3 linked regions of the Xenopus tropicalis genome follow. The protein of the gene in region 3 purifies or fractionates together with the protein of the main gene of each other region. This does not show direct contact. Links are inferred from orthologs where the notes say so. Each region holds a gene or a part of one and is shown on either strand. Other genes may lie near its edges.

Region 1 (5,772 bases), about 91 Mb from region 3:
TTTGCACCTGAATAATAACACACAGCAACCAATCAGCGATTGAATTAATTCAAACAGCTTCAGGCAGAACAATGAAAGGAAAGGTAAAAGCAAACTGAAAACTTGTTTTTATTATCACACAACTAGGACCAGAAAATCCCATCTGATTAGGAATGAAAACTCAAAAGGTAATAAAAAAAACCGAAATGAATGGTTGTACCACATAGGGATAAGTCCTTTTGGAATTTAATTTACATGTAGTTTCTGAAGCATGCCTTCACACAGAATTAGGATGAAGAAGGTGAATGAATTCTTCCAACACAATGCTGTAATTTGCTGGCCAATGCATAAAGGACAGTTGGCAGACATATTCAATACAAGGAAGCGTAAGTCATCTTTACTTGTCTCATAGCACAGGTCTGGGTTGCTGGGTCAGTAGAAGTCCAAATCTTTTCTTTAGACTGACACGGTGTCGAGAAAACTTATCATCAGGAGAAAAGCGTGCAGGGTGGGCTGAAGTGGTTGGTTGACCATCAGGAGAAACCTTCTGGAAATTGGAAGAAAAACACAAACACGTTCTCCTCTTAGTAAATTCTAAACTAGATCCATCACTTCTTCTAATAATTAAAATGGCCCTACTTTTTGACAGGTGGGCTAAGTATGTTATCTGGATAAACATGAACGCCCATTTGTCCCATGACAGTTTTCAGTCTGCATACAGAAACGTATTGCTATGTTTGCTATGTACATGTGCAGGATTTGAACTTCAAGCACACTAAACATTCATCAGATAGTCAGACCAAAAGAGCAAGGAAATGAATCACTGGTCTCTATAAGCATTCATTATCCAATCAATGTGATTCAATGAATCTGATGGGAAAGATGGACCAAAGCTGTAGCTTTGGTTCCATAGTCAGGAGTCTTATTGCGTAATGTTTTTAAGTCCATCAGATTCACATTTAAAAGTCCCTTTCCTTCTATGTTGCATAGCTTGTTTACTTGCAACTTGCACGATAAGAACAACAATGGAACACTAAGTTAAGGGCAGATTTATAGTACATATAAGGTGGTCAACGATCTTGATCATGATGTGTACTATGACTATTTCTTCACTTAAGCTGGCCATACATGTAAAGAATCCCACCTTGAGGTGGGTGATATTGGTCTGATTCGATTATTTGACCATTGATCACAACACAAGCAGGCTGTTGGAAAGAGGTCTGAGTGATTGCACATGTGCAATAACCTTATATGCAGGATTCTAAGCTGCAATGTGAAAACAGACTGAACATAACTTCATAACTGGGGATTCACACAAGCCCGTTACCAAAATAAATATTCTGACAATAAATATTTCTTCATAAAAAAAATTTCCGCTACACTTTTTAACAAAGTTACCACTTGCAATCAGGTTCTGTGTTGGTTTCAGATTCCCCTTGTGAAGGTTTAACGCAGCGCATATCTTCACTCATTAGCCCTATATGAATCAGACTGGCTGGCAATACAATTTATGCAATACAAGGAGGAAACAAGGCATGCACAGTACTGGAGCTGCTCCTGCTTCTTCCTGTTATGCGCTGCCAACCTCTGTAAAAAGTAGTGGACGTAGGGGCCGGCAAACCCTCCTCCAGTGAGACAGTGCAGGACTCAACATCACATAAGCCCTGACTTCATTGAAAATTTTAAAGGAAACAATTTGTTAAATTCCTATTGGCAAAATATTTTTTTGGCAATAGGGGCTTAAATAAATGTTAACACAAAGTTGGACATAGCCTTTAAAGGAACAGTTCAGTGTAAAAATAAAAGTGGTTAAATAGACAGGCTGTGCAAAATAAAACATTTTCAATATGGTTAGTTAGCCAAAAATGTAATCTATAAAGGCTGGAGTAAACAGATGTTTAACATAACTTCCTCCTTTACAGCTCTCTAAAGGCCCCCATACACGAGCCGATAGAAGCTGCCGATATGGGTCCCTTGGACCGATTCGGCAGCTAATCGGCCCGTGTAGGGGCAGAAACGAGCGGCCTGCCCGACCGATATCTGGCCTGAAATTGGCCAGATATCGATCGGCCAAGTTATAAAATCCAGTCGGATCGGGGACCGCATCGGCTCGTTGATGCAGTCCCCAAACCGACTGCCCCATGGCTGCAAATGTAATCCGATCATTTGGCCCCAGGGCCAAACGATCGATTATTTTTCTTTAAAGCTACTTGCTACCCGATATCGCCCACCCGTAGGTGGGGATATCAGGTGAAAATCTGCTCGCTTGGCGATGTCTTATAGTGTATGGGGACCTTAAGCTGTTACCAGTCAGTGACTTGAGGGGGGTTGGATCTGGGACATAACTGTTCAGTTAGTTTGCTTATGAATCTGACCTGCATGCTCACAAACTAACTGAACAGTTATGTCCCATATCGGACAAGTCACCCCTCAAGTCACTGATTGGTTATTGATGGCTAACAGCTTAGAGAGCAGAAAGTAGTGTTCTGGCTATTATCTTAAGACAGGGGTGTCAAACTCAATCACATAAGGGGGCCGAAATCTAAAAAACAGGTTAAGTCGCATGCCAAATTTTTTATTAATATACTTAGTAAGATACTAAGGGGAATATTTATCACAATGTGTAAAAAGTGGAGTAAGACATTACCAGTGATGTTGCTCATAGCAGCCAATAGATGCTTTGCTACTGTTGAAATCTGATTACTGATTGGATGCCTTGGGCAACATTACTGTTAAGGGCTCTGGCACACGAGGAGATTTGTCACCGGCGATTTTTAAAAGAGCGATTTGGCGACAAGATGAAAGACAAGACGCCAATGCTAAACAAATGGAAATCGCCAGCGTCAAAACATACGAGGCTACTTCAAATCGCCTGCTGTTTCAAATCGTACAGACCCTTTTCTGAGCGACTTGAGTAAACATGAGAGGGGTAACTGTTGAGTGTACCATGGGTAGCAGATCGCCTGGAGCTCAACTCTCATGAAATCTCTTTGTGTATTGTCGTGGCGACTTGTCGCCAAAGCGCCAGGGGGGAAAAAACGCAGGCGACAAATCTCCTCGTGTGCTAGAGCCCTAATACTTCACTCCACACAGCATGATAAATATACCCCTTAGTCTTAGTTACTATGTGAGGAAAATGGAAATTGATCAGGCTGGATGGTCAGACACCCTCACCAAGGGCCACATAAAACAGCCAGGTGGGCCGGATTTGGCCCCCGGGCCTTGGGTTTGACATTTATGTCTTAAGACATCCACTCACTCCAGCCTTTATATATTAGATTTTTGCCTTACTATATTAGAAATATTTTTTATTTCGCACAGCCTACCTATTTACCCAGTTTTATTTTTACACTATACTTTTCCTATAATCCCTATATAAAATGCTTTAATCGTGGCCACCAGATGGACTTAAGCAAACAATTTTCTTTCAATTTAATTGGAACTAAACGCTTAACTTTCTCTATAGGCATTAAAACATGTTGCACTGCCCATTTGTGCGACCCTCCAGGTACTAAGGAATAGTATAGGTCAAAGGAAAATATCAGCCCATCACATGCTGGTTTATAGTTCCATTGCTCACCTTCATTGTGTATACACGCTCCCCCTGCTCGTTTAGATAAAACTGCAGAAACATCCTCTAGCGTCAGGCAGCGACACGCGCAAATCTACAGCGAACAGAAACACACGCAGGTTCCACACTCACCAAGCGCCCCACGTTTTTCTCAACAGGGTGACGATACTACTTCCGCACAACTACTTCCTGTTCCGGTAAAGTTCGTCACTTCAGTAGTTCCTTCTCCACACCCCCTATCCCGCTCTCGTGTTGATATTTCGCCTTATTTTCGAGAGCGAAATTCTCCGTTTGTTATGTAACTACGGGCAGTAACAGCCTACTTGTTTTTGTTTTGTTTTGTTATTCATGCGCCCCAAATCCTTATTTGTGTTGTCTGGCCTTTGTTCTAACTAGTCAGTAAATCTGGGTATCATTCTCAGTCGTTCCTGAGGCAGCTTGAGGGCGCTGACCAATCAGCTCACTTGTGAGTTTAGCGGTTAGAACACGTACCTATGATGCGAGACACTTCTGCAAAGAATAAAAATATCAAAAAAGATTATGACCTACCAGCGTGTTGGAATGGGTGTAAAGGGATTGCAGCAGGAAGGAGGGGATGCTTAGAAGGAGTTAGCATAGAGACGGGATCTGACAGTGTTAGAACATGCAGGCAGGGGAGGTTTGAGGTGGTGTTTACTAGTAGGTTGGTGGGGATGGAGTTAAAATGGTCTAAAAAGAGTAGTAGTTACATGGTGTATCTTTTAGAAAGAGTCTAAAGGTGGCCATGCACGGGCTGATTTTAGCTCATGATATCAGGATTTGGCAGCTCATCTGCCTGTGTATGGGCACGAATGTCGGGCCTCCCCGACCGTCTTCTGATCTCGATTGGGCAGGTTTGGGTTTTCCATTGATCAGAGACCACATTGGCTGGTTGATGTGGCCCCCGAACTGACAGCTTCTATACCCGCCATTTTAATTGGTTTGGCCCAATATCGGCCACCCGTAGGTGGGCATATCGGGAGAAGAGCCACTCCAGTAAGAGGTTGGAGTTAGAAAGTATAGTTGGGGAAAGGGAATACCCAACCTCTTATACCCGTGAGCCACATTCAAATGGAAAAAGTGTTGGGGAGCAACACAAGCATGAAAAAAGTTTCTGGGGTGCCAGTAAGTGCCTCTTGGTAGCCTCCCTGACCAGTTTTCTTCTCGTCTTTTCATCAATTTTGGAGGGACGTCCAGTTCTTGGTAATGTCACTGCTGTGCCAAATTTTCTCCACTTGATGATGACTGTCTTTACTGATATCTTTTAACAATGAGATCCCTCTGATGCTTTGGAAGCTCTCTGGGGACCATGGCTTTTGCTGTGGGATGCGACTAAAAAAATGTCAGGAAAGACCAAGTAGAGCAGCTGAACTTTATTTGGGGTTAATCGGAGGCACTTTAAATGATGGCAGGTGTATGCTGACTATTTAACATGATTTTGAATGTGATTGCTTAATTCTGAACACAGCTACATCCCCAGTTAGAAGAGGGTGTGCACACTTATGCAACCACATTATTTTAGTTTTTTTGGTTTTCTTCCCTTCACCTAAAAGATTACAGTTTGTTTTTCAATTGAGTGGTACAGTTTATAGGTCACATTAAAGGTGGAAAAAGTTCTGAAATGATTTATCTTTGTGTCATTTTTGTACAGCACAGGAACCTGACATTTTACCAGAGGTGTGTAGACTTTTTATATCCACTGTATATGACTTTCTTGCTCTTTGAATCCAGTATGGCATCACTGAAGAATCAGAGCATCTTTGGGAAAATCAGCACAGATTGCACAAGGGGTGGTATTGCTAAGAACTGATTTGACACAGGGGGTATAGTTTCAGAGAACTTTAAACCATCTTGAAAATGTATTTTAGTCACTTAAGAATATCAACCGTCACTGTGGGGGGCAAGAGTTAGGCACCACCATTGATTATATTCCCTTGCCAGATACCCCATGCCTGAGCTTCTATCCGCAGAAAACTGCACCGGCCCGGTGTTCTTCCGGTGAGCACCATGGAGCAAGCCTCTTTCTGCTTCTTTCTTTACATGGGTGTACAATGTGAAAAAGCCAGCTTTTTAACTCTACTACTGCGCATGCCTCAAGCCTATGATTTTGAAGAAAGAAGCAGAAGACAGGATCGCTCTGTGGTACTCGCCACTAAGAAGCCCTGGCTGGGAAGTTTTCTGCTAAAAGGAACACAAGTCCAGGG
Region 2 (3,882 bases), on a different chromosome or scaffold from region 3:
TCAGCTTTTATAGAGAGAGATTACCAGGACCACATCTTGGTTCTACAGGCTTAATTTCCTTCTTAGATTAACAGTTCATATGCCCTTCATGGACATTTTTGGTGCACAGGAATACCCCTGGGAATGCAATATATACTCATTCCCTTTCTGTCGCCTACACTCAACTTCTGTTCTAGTTTTTCCCTCTTGATCCACTCACATTAACAGATTATATAGAAAAGCTAAAGAACTTTCTTGCATCATTCGATGTCTAAACAACTTAGAGTGCCACCTAGTGGATATATCATTTATTTATCTCCATTGTTTAGTATTAAGAAAAACTTAATTTTTTTTTTGTTTTCACCAATGGGCATGTAAACATGTACAAACAGGTTTTTAAAAATGTGCTATTACAATTAGTAATTAAAAAAGAAAGGGGATAATCACCAGGGGATGGCAATTTGTTAGACACCCCCAGTGATTATAATCAACAACTCAGGGCCAGTGCTCCTGTGTAATGAAAACTGCACTGGCCCAGGGCATGATGCTAGGAGCGCTATGTCATCATCTTCTGTCTCACAGTGATCCCCTTGTGGTTGCTGTACCCTGTGTCGGCTTTTTGCTCTACTACACATGCTCACTCAGAGCCAAGAACAAGAAAAAGACTGCAATGTGGTGCTCCTAGATTAGTACTTCAGGCAAGTGCAGTTTTAAGTCCACCCATATCTCAGGTAGGTGATCATAATCACTGATGGGGTGCCTAGAATTTTGGCACCCCAGAGAGATTACACCTCTCATTCTCCTTTAATAAAGGCCTAATGAAGATTGCATTGTAAAATGCCATTTTTTTTCCATTTATGGCTTTTATTCATCCAAAAGACATGCATGCCTTAGCTCCAGCACCAAGAGGTGTGTCTTAACATTGTTTGATAGCCTATGACTCCAAAGCAGTCCCCGATTGGCAATCTGTGGGTTCTGGCAGCTGCTGTAAGATGCCATATACAAATCATTATTTATTGAAATGCCAGGGCCTCTTTTGAAACACAGTCCAGATGTGCTCAAAATAATTTTCCTTGTGTAGAATTTAGCATTTTATTTGCTAGATATTTCATGACATTACCAGGGCAAAGTTTAGTTACCTAGAAAAATTTTATATCATTCTTTTTTTCAGAACAACATGGGCTTTTTAAATCTGCCTAAACATCATTTAATTGCACTTTAACAAGATTTTGATTGAAGTCAAACAGCTGTAGGGGCCAATTCCTGTTAACCCCGCTAAATGGCTACTAGGGGATATTTGCTGCATGTTTTCTTAGCCACCCACATGACGTGACAGCATGACCCATCAGCCAAATAAAGGGCCCTAATGGAAATGTGTCCTGAATAATAAAAAAAACCCACCAAAAAAAACCCAACATGCTTTATTTTCTTACCCTAAAACACTAATTGTTCACCTTGACCGCTCCCAGAATGAGCAGTTATCTTAAAGAGAGAATAGGCAGGAAAATAATCCATATATAACAAAAAATATTGGTCATTTATTTCGTAATATGTCTATATTCAAATTGAAAATTAACCTTCTTTGACCCATATCACTGTGCTATGGATATCTTGGGATACCAGGCAGGGGGACATAAATTTAGATCTGTACTCCAGCAAGTGTCAGTATCTGTTACAAAGAAGCTCCCCTTCCAAAATTAGGATCCATCTCCAAAAAACATTTCTTTAAAAAAATGGTGTTAACAGGCTCTGTTAATCAGTAAATGAACTGTAATTTCCTAACTGGCTCAGCCCTAGACAGAAGGGTTAGCTGACACATTACAGCAAACACTTTAATGTCCTCACAGTTTGTCTTTAGAGCTGCATGCAAAGTGTGTACGAAGAAATGTCTGGTACCATTTTCCTCACAGTATGCCAGAATGGTTAATGGAAAAGTATCCTCTAAAGTTGTCCAGATCAGTAGGGTAACGGAAGGGCTTGTACATCCTCTAGACATTCATCATATGCTTCCTGGTAATCCTCATGTGGTTTGATCAGTATCACACAGGTCGGGCGCTTGGAGCCAGCAGCTGCTCCTAGGTCCTGAAACAAGCGCAAATGTATCACCTTACACAAATATCAATACTATACTAGGATAGATGGCCAAGAATTAACTAATCATGTGTTAGAATTCAGAAATAGTTGAAGGCCTTAAAATAACAAGAAATTTGAAAAACTGGATATTTAGGCTACATTGGAGAGATGTCTTTAAAGTGACAACTGGCAGGGCATGGCTTCTCACTGACTAAACACTAAATATCAGATGTATATGGAAAAATAAAAATAAGCCAATTTAAGCTTGTTATAGAATAGAACATTACAAAATACAGGATCAAACCTTGGAGCATCTCACAATCATTTTTGTTACATTCTAATGTATTGTGTCTTTAACTAAAAACCTTGTCTATTTAAAATCTGTACTTTACTTAATTTCATATGCTAATGTGAAATGCCAGCATTTTTCTGGCAAAAGCAAACCCAACCCTTCCTAAACTGCCTACCAAAGCACCCATTGACTATAATAGCAGCAGATCAGAAGCGTGGTAGCACTTTCCATCCAAAAATGTTACGTTTGTGAGCAGTTTTTCACTGGAAAACAGACACTTTCACTTCCCACTAAAATTAATGGAAGCCAAAGGACATTGTCACCAGTGTTTCTATGTCTGCAGATATGTGTAATGCTTAACATTAGCATTCTATGTAGTGCTGCCTCTTGTTATACACAATGACTGGTTCCAGGAATATTTGACTGAGATTCTCAATAAATCACTCAGGTGGCAAAACACCTACAATGGTTTATGTGCCATTCCCTTACACAGTAAATGTTTGCTAGAAGTTTCTAACCAAGAAGAGTATTATGCACAATTGAGTAGGACTTTGTATAGGAGAATTTGTTTTTGCAATTTTGTTTTTAGAAGATCTGTCTATAAGTATTAGTTGTATGACAAAGGACTAAAGTAAAGAAATCACACTCATTTTGCAGTGACTAGATCTGGTAAATATAAGATGTTAGAAGACACCAGTAGTTTAAAGGCCCATTAGGATAGATTTGTGAAGAATCCCTATTTTTCTCCAATAGTACAGGTATGGGACCCATTATACAGAATGCTCAGGACCTGGGGGTTCTTGGATAAGGGATCTTTCCGTAATTTGGATCTCCATACCTTAAGTGTACTAAAAGATTATTTACTGTATATACTCGAGTATAAGCCAATCCGAATATAAGCCGAGGTACCTAATTTTACCTAAGAAACCTGGAAAAACTTATTGACTCGAGTATAAGCCTAGGGTGGGAAATGCAGCAGCTACTGCTAAGTTTTTTTTTTTTTTTTTTTTTTAACAGTCAGGCAAGTTTGGGAAGGCTAAGGAAGCTGCCATACTAAGTATCAAGTACTTGCCATCCTGCTGTGTGTGCTCCCATCGCAATGCAGCATGTCTCCCAGCACAACTGACAGCAAAGCTTCTATTTGTGAGAGTGCTCAGCCAGAATGGCAGTAGCTTCTGTGGAACTACACATCCCAGGAGGCCATTAATATGTAGGCAGGAGGGGAACATGAGCCGAGCCAGGAGCAAGATAACACTTCCCAAGGGCAGTTATACCCTCACTGTAGCCACATAGTCAGGTGTGTCCCCGATATATATATATAATTTGATATGACAAATCTATCATATCAAATTATATATGAATTATTGGCATGTCTGCTCCCAGGACTCTCCCTCTACCCTGCCATGGTTATGCTTCTGTATATGATTTTTTATCTGGAAACCTGGTATCCCCCATTTTTTTTTTTTTTTTTGAAACAGCTATAAGACCCCTTAGTGCTTTCTAAAAATTCGTTTTTTTAATTAAAATAATAACACCAT
Region 3 (5,255 bases):
AAATATTCTATCTGGCTAAAGGCTAAAAAGGAAATACCTCCCAGATCTATAGGAGGTCATACCCTTCTGTTAATAGCATATGATTATGCATAGTAGGACATCAATGCTTTGTTTATACTGCTGGCTGCTTTTTCTGACGTCTGACCCACATGGCTGTCATGCAAATTTGATCTAGCCGAACTAAGTGGTCGTGCCATGATTTCATGTGATGTTGTGAGCTGCAACTTATATATTAAAAAAAAAAAAAGAATCTGTATAGTATATACTCACATAGTGCCAGGAAAGAGAAATTATGTAACAATTTATAAGCTTCTACATTCAACTTTTGGTAAGTTGGTTAAAGGCACTATTGTTGATAAAACTAGCATAAACATCCTTATTTTGGTAAGTAGGGGGCTGGGAGATGATCAGATATGCATACTATGTGAAAAGTGTTAACCATTTTTATGATATCTTCCAAGGTCAAAATGATGCTTTAGTAAATCAAAGAAAATGCTTAGGGCATAAACAAAGTTACAATATGTATCTAGTGTAGCTGAATTTAGAGATAGTGACAATTTTAACAGGAATGTGTCATTATTCCCCTATAAACGAAGATATTACTAACCTCTCCTAGTACAGATGCCCCCTGCCTACCCCCAGCACACTGTGTCAGCCTCCTACAAGGATTAGCTTCCTGAATGACAATGTGCATGGGGGATCACAGCCCTAAGCAGAAGGCTGGAGGTAGACGGGGGGTAACTGTAGCTTTTGATATCTGGGTCTAGAGTAATCATAGCACATTCCTGTTAAAACCTGGAATGTGTTACTATCCCTTTAAGGCAATAAAATCCCTTAATTTCTAATATATATATATGAATCTAACACAAAGGGCTGACAAGTACAAGCAGGTTACATATGTTTTGCTTGTTTTTAAATATGAGCACTGTGTGTGCACAACTCTATGTAACACAGCATGTTAGAGACAATAATTGTGTAGAACTGTCTCTCTGTTGGTTTTGTCTGTGTGCTTGTGATTGTTACTGTATATATGTCATTGTTTTCCTCAGCAGTGGTAATAATGTTTGTGGATATTTGTGGGTATTTTTGTCTATACTTGTGTGTTCACAAATGTGTCACCTTGACACATGACCCACTGCGTTAGAATAACCCCGGGGGCGCTTTAAGATTAGGCACATTAAAGAGTGGAATTTTCAGTAAAACATGAAAATTGGACTCTTAAAAGAAAAACTGTGTGCTGACTGTAACACAGCAGCGAGTTCACCAACAGTGTGTAGGACACAAAAAGAGGGCACTGTGACATTTTCCAGAGAGCCCTATTTAAGCAAACAATTCTTATTTCTAACTGATTTTGTGTTACTCTGTAATATGGGAGTAACTTTTACTGGATGATAACCGAGCCAACATATATTGATGTTGATAGCAAAACAGTTTCTTCTGATATTGTTTTAGTAGACTTAAAGGACATGTAAACCCCACACACAAAAATGTAATCAGTGAACAGCCTCTTTGAAATCTTTCAATATCTGCCTCTGGTTGTCCAGAGGTTAATAGTAAGGCTGCAACATCTCCTTAATCACTTAGATTTGCTTCTCCTCCTGTAACCCACTCAGCCCCCTCCCTCAGGAATTTGCTTTGGCTGTTGGCTTGTGGGCATGTTCAGTTGTTCTAAGCTCAGATTACTAAACATGCCCCCCAGTCTAGCAGCGAATAAAGAGATGGCATTGCTGGTTCCCATAGAAACTCAGCTCTAGCGTCTGCTTCAATTTTTTTCTCCCAACCAACCCTCCTGAGCTCAGCTCAAACAAAGCAGAAGTTTTATCAAAGACAGTTCTGCCTGTGTGAGCCTCTATTCTTGATGAAATGTATGCTGAATAAGGGTCTGTGTGTGTGTATGCTGTTTGCAGATTTAAATGTATCCAAATATGTATCAGAGGAAAAATGGCCACGGGTGAAAGCTGCTATTTGCTTTAGGAAAATGGGATGGTGCTGGCAAGCGGAGGGGACATATGCAGTACAAATAATGCCATTTGGGTGGGGGAGACGTGCCCAACTGATATACATTGTAGGCAAATGTAGGCTTTACATGTCCTTTAAGAAACGGCACTCCAAATTACAGAGACAACCCTTCTCCAGAAAACCACAGGTCCCAAGTATTCCTTAGATTCTATTCCTGTAATTATAAACACAACCAAATAACTGATATTTCTAAGAAAAGTGGCTTTTCACAGCACTGTGTAAAGTGTGATGTAACACTCAATGTACTGATACCTGAAAGAGCAAGTCTTTAATATATCAATCCAGCTAACATATGTACTAGTACTGGTAATGCTCTGCCAGTGGTCAACAGGTAAGACTTAAGAATCCCAATACAATCCAGAACGCAGGACAAGTAGCCAAAGTTTCCAGATGGCACAATGCAGTGTGGTGTAGATGGTAGTACTTATCCAAAACTGCTTGCATCTTTTAGATTACTTACATTTGTAACTTATCCGGTATTATATACTGAGTAAAGTCTTTAACCGTGGGTGCAAAAAACATTGTGTCTTTTATCTTGATACCCCTGTTTTCAATTTGGCCTTTTTCATTAAAGCGAATCACATAAAATGGATGTGGAACTGGTCCAAATATTTCAAATATCTGTGGAGAAAAGTGAGAAATAAAAGGCATTTAGCAGAACAGCACAGCGGCTTAACGAACCACTGTTAAGCAAAATAATTAGAAAATGTATTAGACGCAAACATAAATCATATCATTTACTAAACAAAGGTTTGAAGCCAGCCATCTGGCAGTGTTTTAGGAGATTAAGAGAACATACATTACCAAGAATAGTTAATGTGACCTGGGCTTCAAGCTCAAGTGTACCATTTGTTAATATGTGGTTTGATAAGAGCAGAAGTATATTTTTACATCCTTATTGTGAGCGGTTTGTACAGTAGAATGTTCATACAACATAATTAAAAATGATGCTGCAGCATGGAAAGAACAACATTATTAGTAGTTATCTGTCAATATAAGCCAAGTAGCACTACCTAAAATAGTATTTGTCGGAAAACTATAACCTCGAGAAAACAGAAGAAGTGTACACATGAAAATTGCTACATATACTTTCGCTTAGATTTAACCAGCATTTAACTTCTGTAGATATAGTAATGTTTGGAAGAAAAAAAAAAAAAAATCTATCAATAATGACACAAACGATAACATGAGACTTTGCACTAATATAGTGAGCATTCATTGGCCCTTCTATTATATAGTAGCAACCTAAATCTGTGCACCATTTGGGCAGATGCAGAATCCAGTTATATGCTACAATAAAATTATATGATGACAGTAGGGTTAGCATGAAACAGTTTCCTGACTACAGGTTTTTGCCCATGGGGGTCCCTGTGGTCAGGTTGTGTTGAAACCTGAAAAGGAAGATACAATTATTTTGCAATTTTCCTATAGATATTCAACCATGGGAAAAGTTCAACGTACAAAATGTCACAAATCTGTTTCTATACTGATGTTGCCATGTTTTCTTGCAAGGTAGGTGCAATCCCACCAATAAGTAGAGTTTGAATGCTTGAAAGCTTTCTATGGAGAATGGCAAAGTGACTGGGTGGGTGCCTTGATTGGCTGAATTCTGTTGGCACAAAAGTGGGACTGGGCAATCTCATCTGCGCATTTTTGTAATGGAGAAGGTGGTTGATAACCCTGTTTTCCAGAGGGTAGGTCATCTAATCAACTACTTGAACTTTATACAATTTAATTGATTCATTTGCTAAACTACTGTATTTGTGAAAGCATTTCTTTTGCAAAGTCTTCCCATTTTGGCCAAACTTTGCAAAAAAAAAAAAAAAAAAAAAAACCCACAAAACATCCTCTGAAGCATTCAACTCTATTAATCATCCTGTCCTGCTACTCAAACTCGGTTCTATTGTTCTATGTCACTGCCCTCGAATATTTCTGTTCTATATTTCTAGCTGCTCAGAAAGCAGTTATATTATGCTCCCTTTATTTATTTTAAATATAAAACTGCTTTCATGATACTTATGCTATATTTTACACATCAGAGGACTTTGCTGCATAATTACACTTGCTTAGTAAAACTATGAAGAATCATAGGCCATATTAACTCTTGGCTTTTTATGCAAATACTACTCTCAGTTTCAAAGCCACTTCTCGGATTTATAAAAATGCTTTTCAACAGCAATCAACAGTCTAAAAGTAGGCTGTATTTCTGCACTAAATTTTATGCCACAATATAAATATTTCTTTGAAAAATATACTGTTAAGAACATTTTTAATGATTTAAGATTAAAATTCTCCCCCTTTTTCCTGATAAATGAGCCTTGGCATGTAAAGCCCTGTTTATACTACATAGGAGATGACGCTACATTAATTATGTGCTATTAATAAAAGATTAAACTACAGATTATCACAGTAGATGTTACTGCTGCAATAAAAATAGATCTGAAAGCGTATGGGAAAAATATAAACTGCATGTTTCCAGGGATGGATTCCTTTTTAGCATAATACCATGGGATGTTTACTGTATTCCCAACTACTAATCCCTGCACTTTTGCCAATTGCTGGTGTGAGAAGAACACCACAATATTTTGTTGCTTTTAGACCCAGATAGGTGACAAGTACAACGATTATTCTAGAAATAAAGTTACTAGTAGTTGCAGAGCAGGAAAGCAGTGCCAATACCCAAATTAGGTGGTTTAAAGCAGAAGGAAAGGCTAAGTCACTTGGGGGTGCCAAAATGTTAGGCACCCCCCCCCCCCAGTGACTTTAATTGCTTACCTTTTACCCTGGGCTGGTGCCCCTGTTAGGAGAAAACTGCACCAGCCCGGGGTACCAGCAGCGAGTGTTTCCTCTTCCTTTTTTGTTCTGTCTTTGGAATCCCTGGGCTGGCGCATGCGCAGTAGATGAAAAAGCTCACTTTTTTGTTTAAGTTCAGCTCTTCACTCTACTGCTCATGCGCGAGCGCGCAAAGAAGGAAGAAAGAACAGGAGACAGTCGATGCAGGTAACCCGGGCTGGTGCGGTTTTCTCCTAACAGCAGGGGTAAAAGGTAAGTGATTTAAGTCACTAGGGGGTGCCTAACATTTTGGCACCCCCCCAGTGACTTAGGGGCGGATTTATTATGCTGTGTAAAACTAATTTGCAAAAAGACGGAGTAAAAAGCTGTGTAAAATAAATGGAAAAGAACGCCATCTGAACGTCGGATATTACGCCATTATTTTCCATAAGTTCTGGTGGAAG

Evidence for each region.
Region 1: the proteins of naf1 (region 3) and nop10 purify together in Homo sapiens (co-immunoprecipitation; 6 studies listed by BioGRID and IntAct, with this or other methods). This does not show direct contact. The link is inferred for Xenopus tropicalis from reciprocal best matches to the Homo sapiens genes NAF1 and NOP10.
Region 2: the proteins of naf1 (region 3) and nhp2 purify together in Homo sapiens (affinity purification with western blotting; 3 studies listed by BioGRID and IntAct, with this or other methods). This does not show direct contact. The link is inferred for Xenopus tropicalis from reciprocal best matches to the Homo sapiens genes NAF1 and NHP2.

What each region holds. Positions count from the first base shown.
Region 1 is NC_030677.2:142,941,344-142,947,115, reverse strand, and holds nop10 (H/ACA ribonucleoprotein complex subunit 3), read right to left. Parts: upstream 3,656-5,772; 5' UTR 3,614-3,655; coding exon 3,560-3,613; intron 527-3,559; coding exon 386-526; 3' UTR 91-385; downstream 1-90. UniProt on the Homo sapiens protein: Required for ribosome biogenesis and telomere maintenance. Part of the H/ACA small nucleolar ribonucleoprotein (H/ACA snoRNP) complex, which catalyzes pseudouridylation of rRNA.
Region 2 is NC_030679.2:47,804,007-47,807,888, forward strand, and holds the end of nhp2 (H/ACA ribonucleoprotein complex subunit 2-like protein), read right to left. Parts: intron 2,062-3,882; coding exon 1,936-2,061; 3' UTR 1,498-1,935; downstream 1-1,497. UniProt on the Homo sapiens protein: Required for ribosome biogenesis and telomere maintenance. Part of the H/ACA small nucleolar ribonucleoprotein (H/ACA snoRNP) complex, which catalyzes pseudouridylation of rRNA.
Region 3 is NC_030677.2:51,934,007-51,939,261, reverse strand, and holds part of naf1 (H/ACA ribonucleoprotein complex non-core subunit NAF1), read right to left. Parts: intron 2,641-5,255; coding exon 2,480-2,640; intron 1-2,479. UniProt on the Homo sapiens protein: RNA-binding protein required for the maturation of box H/ACA snoRNPs complex and ribosome biogenesis.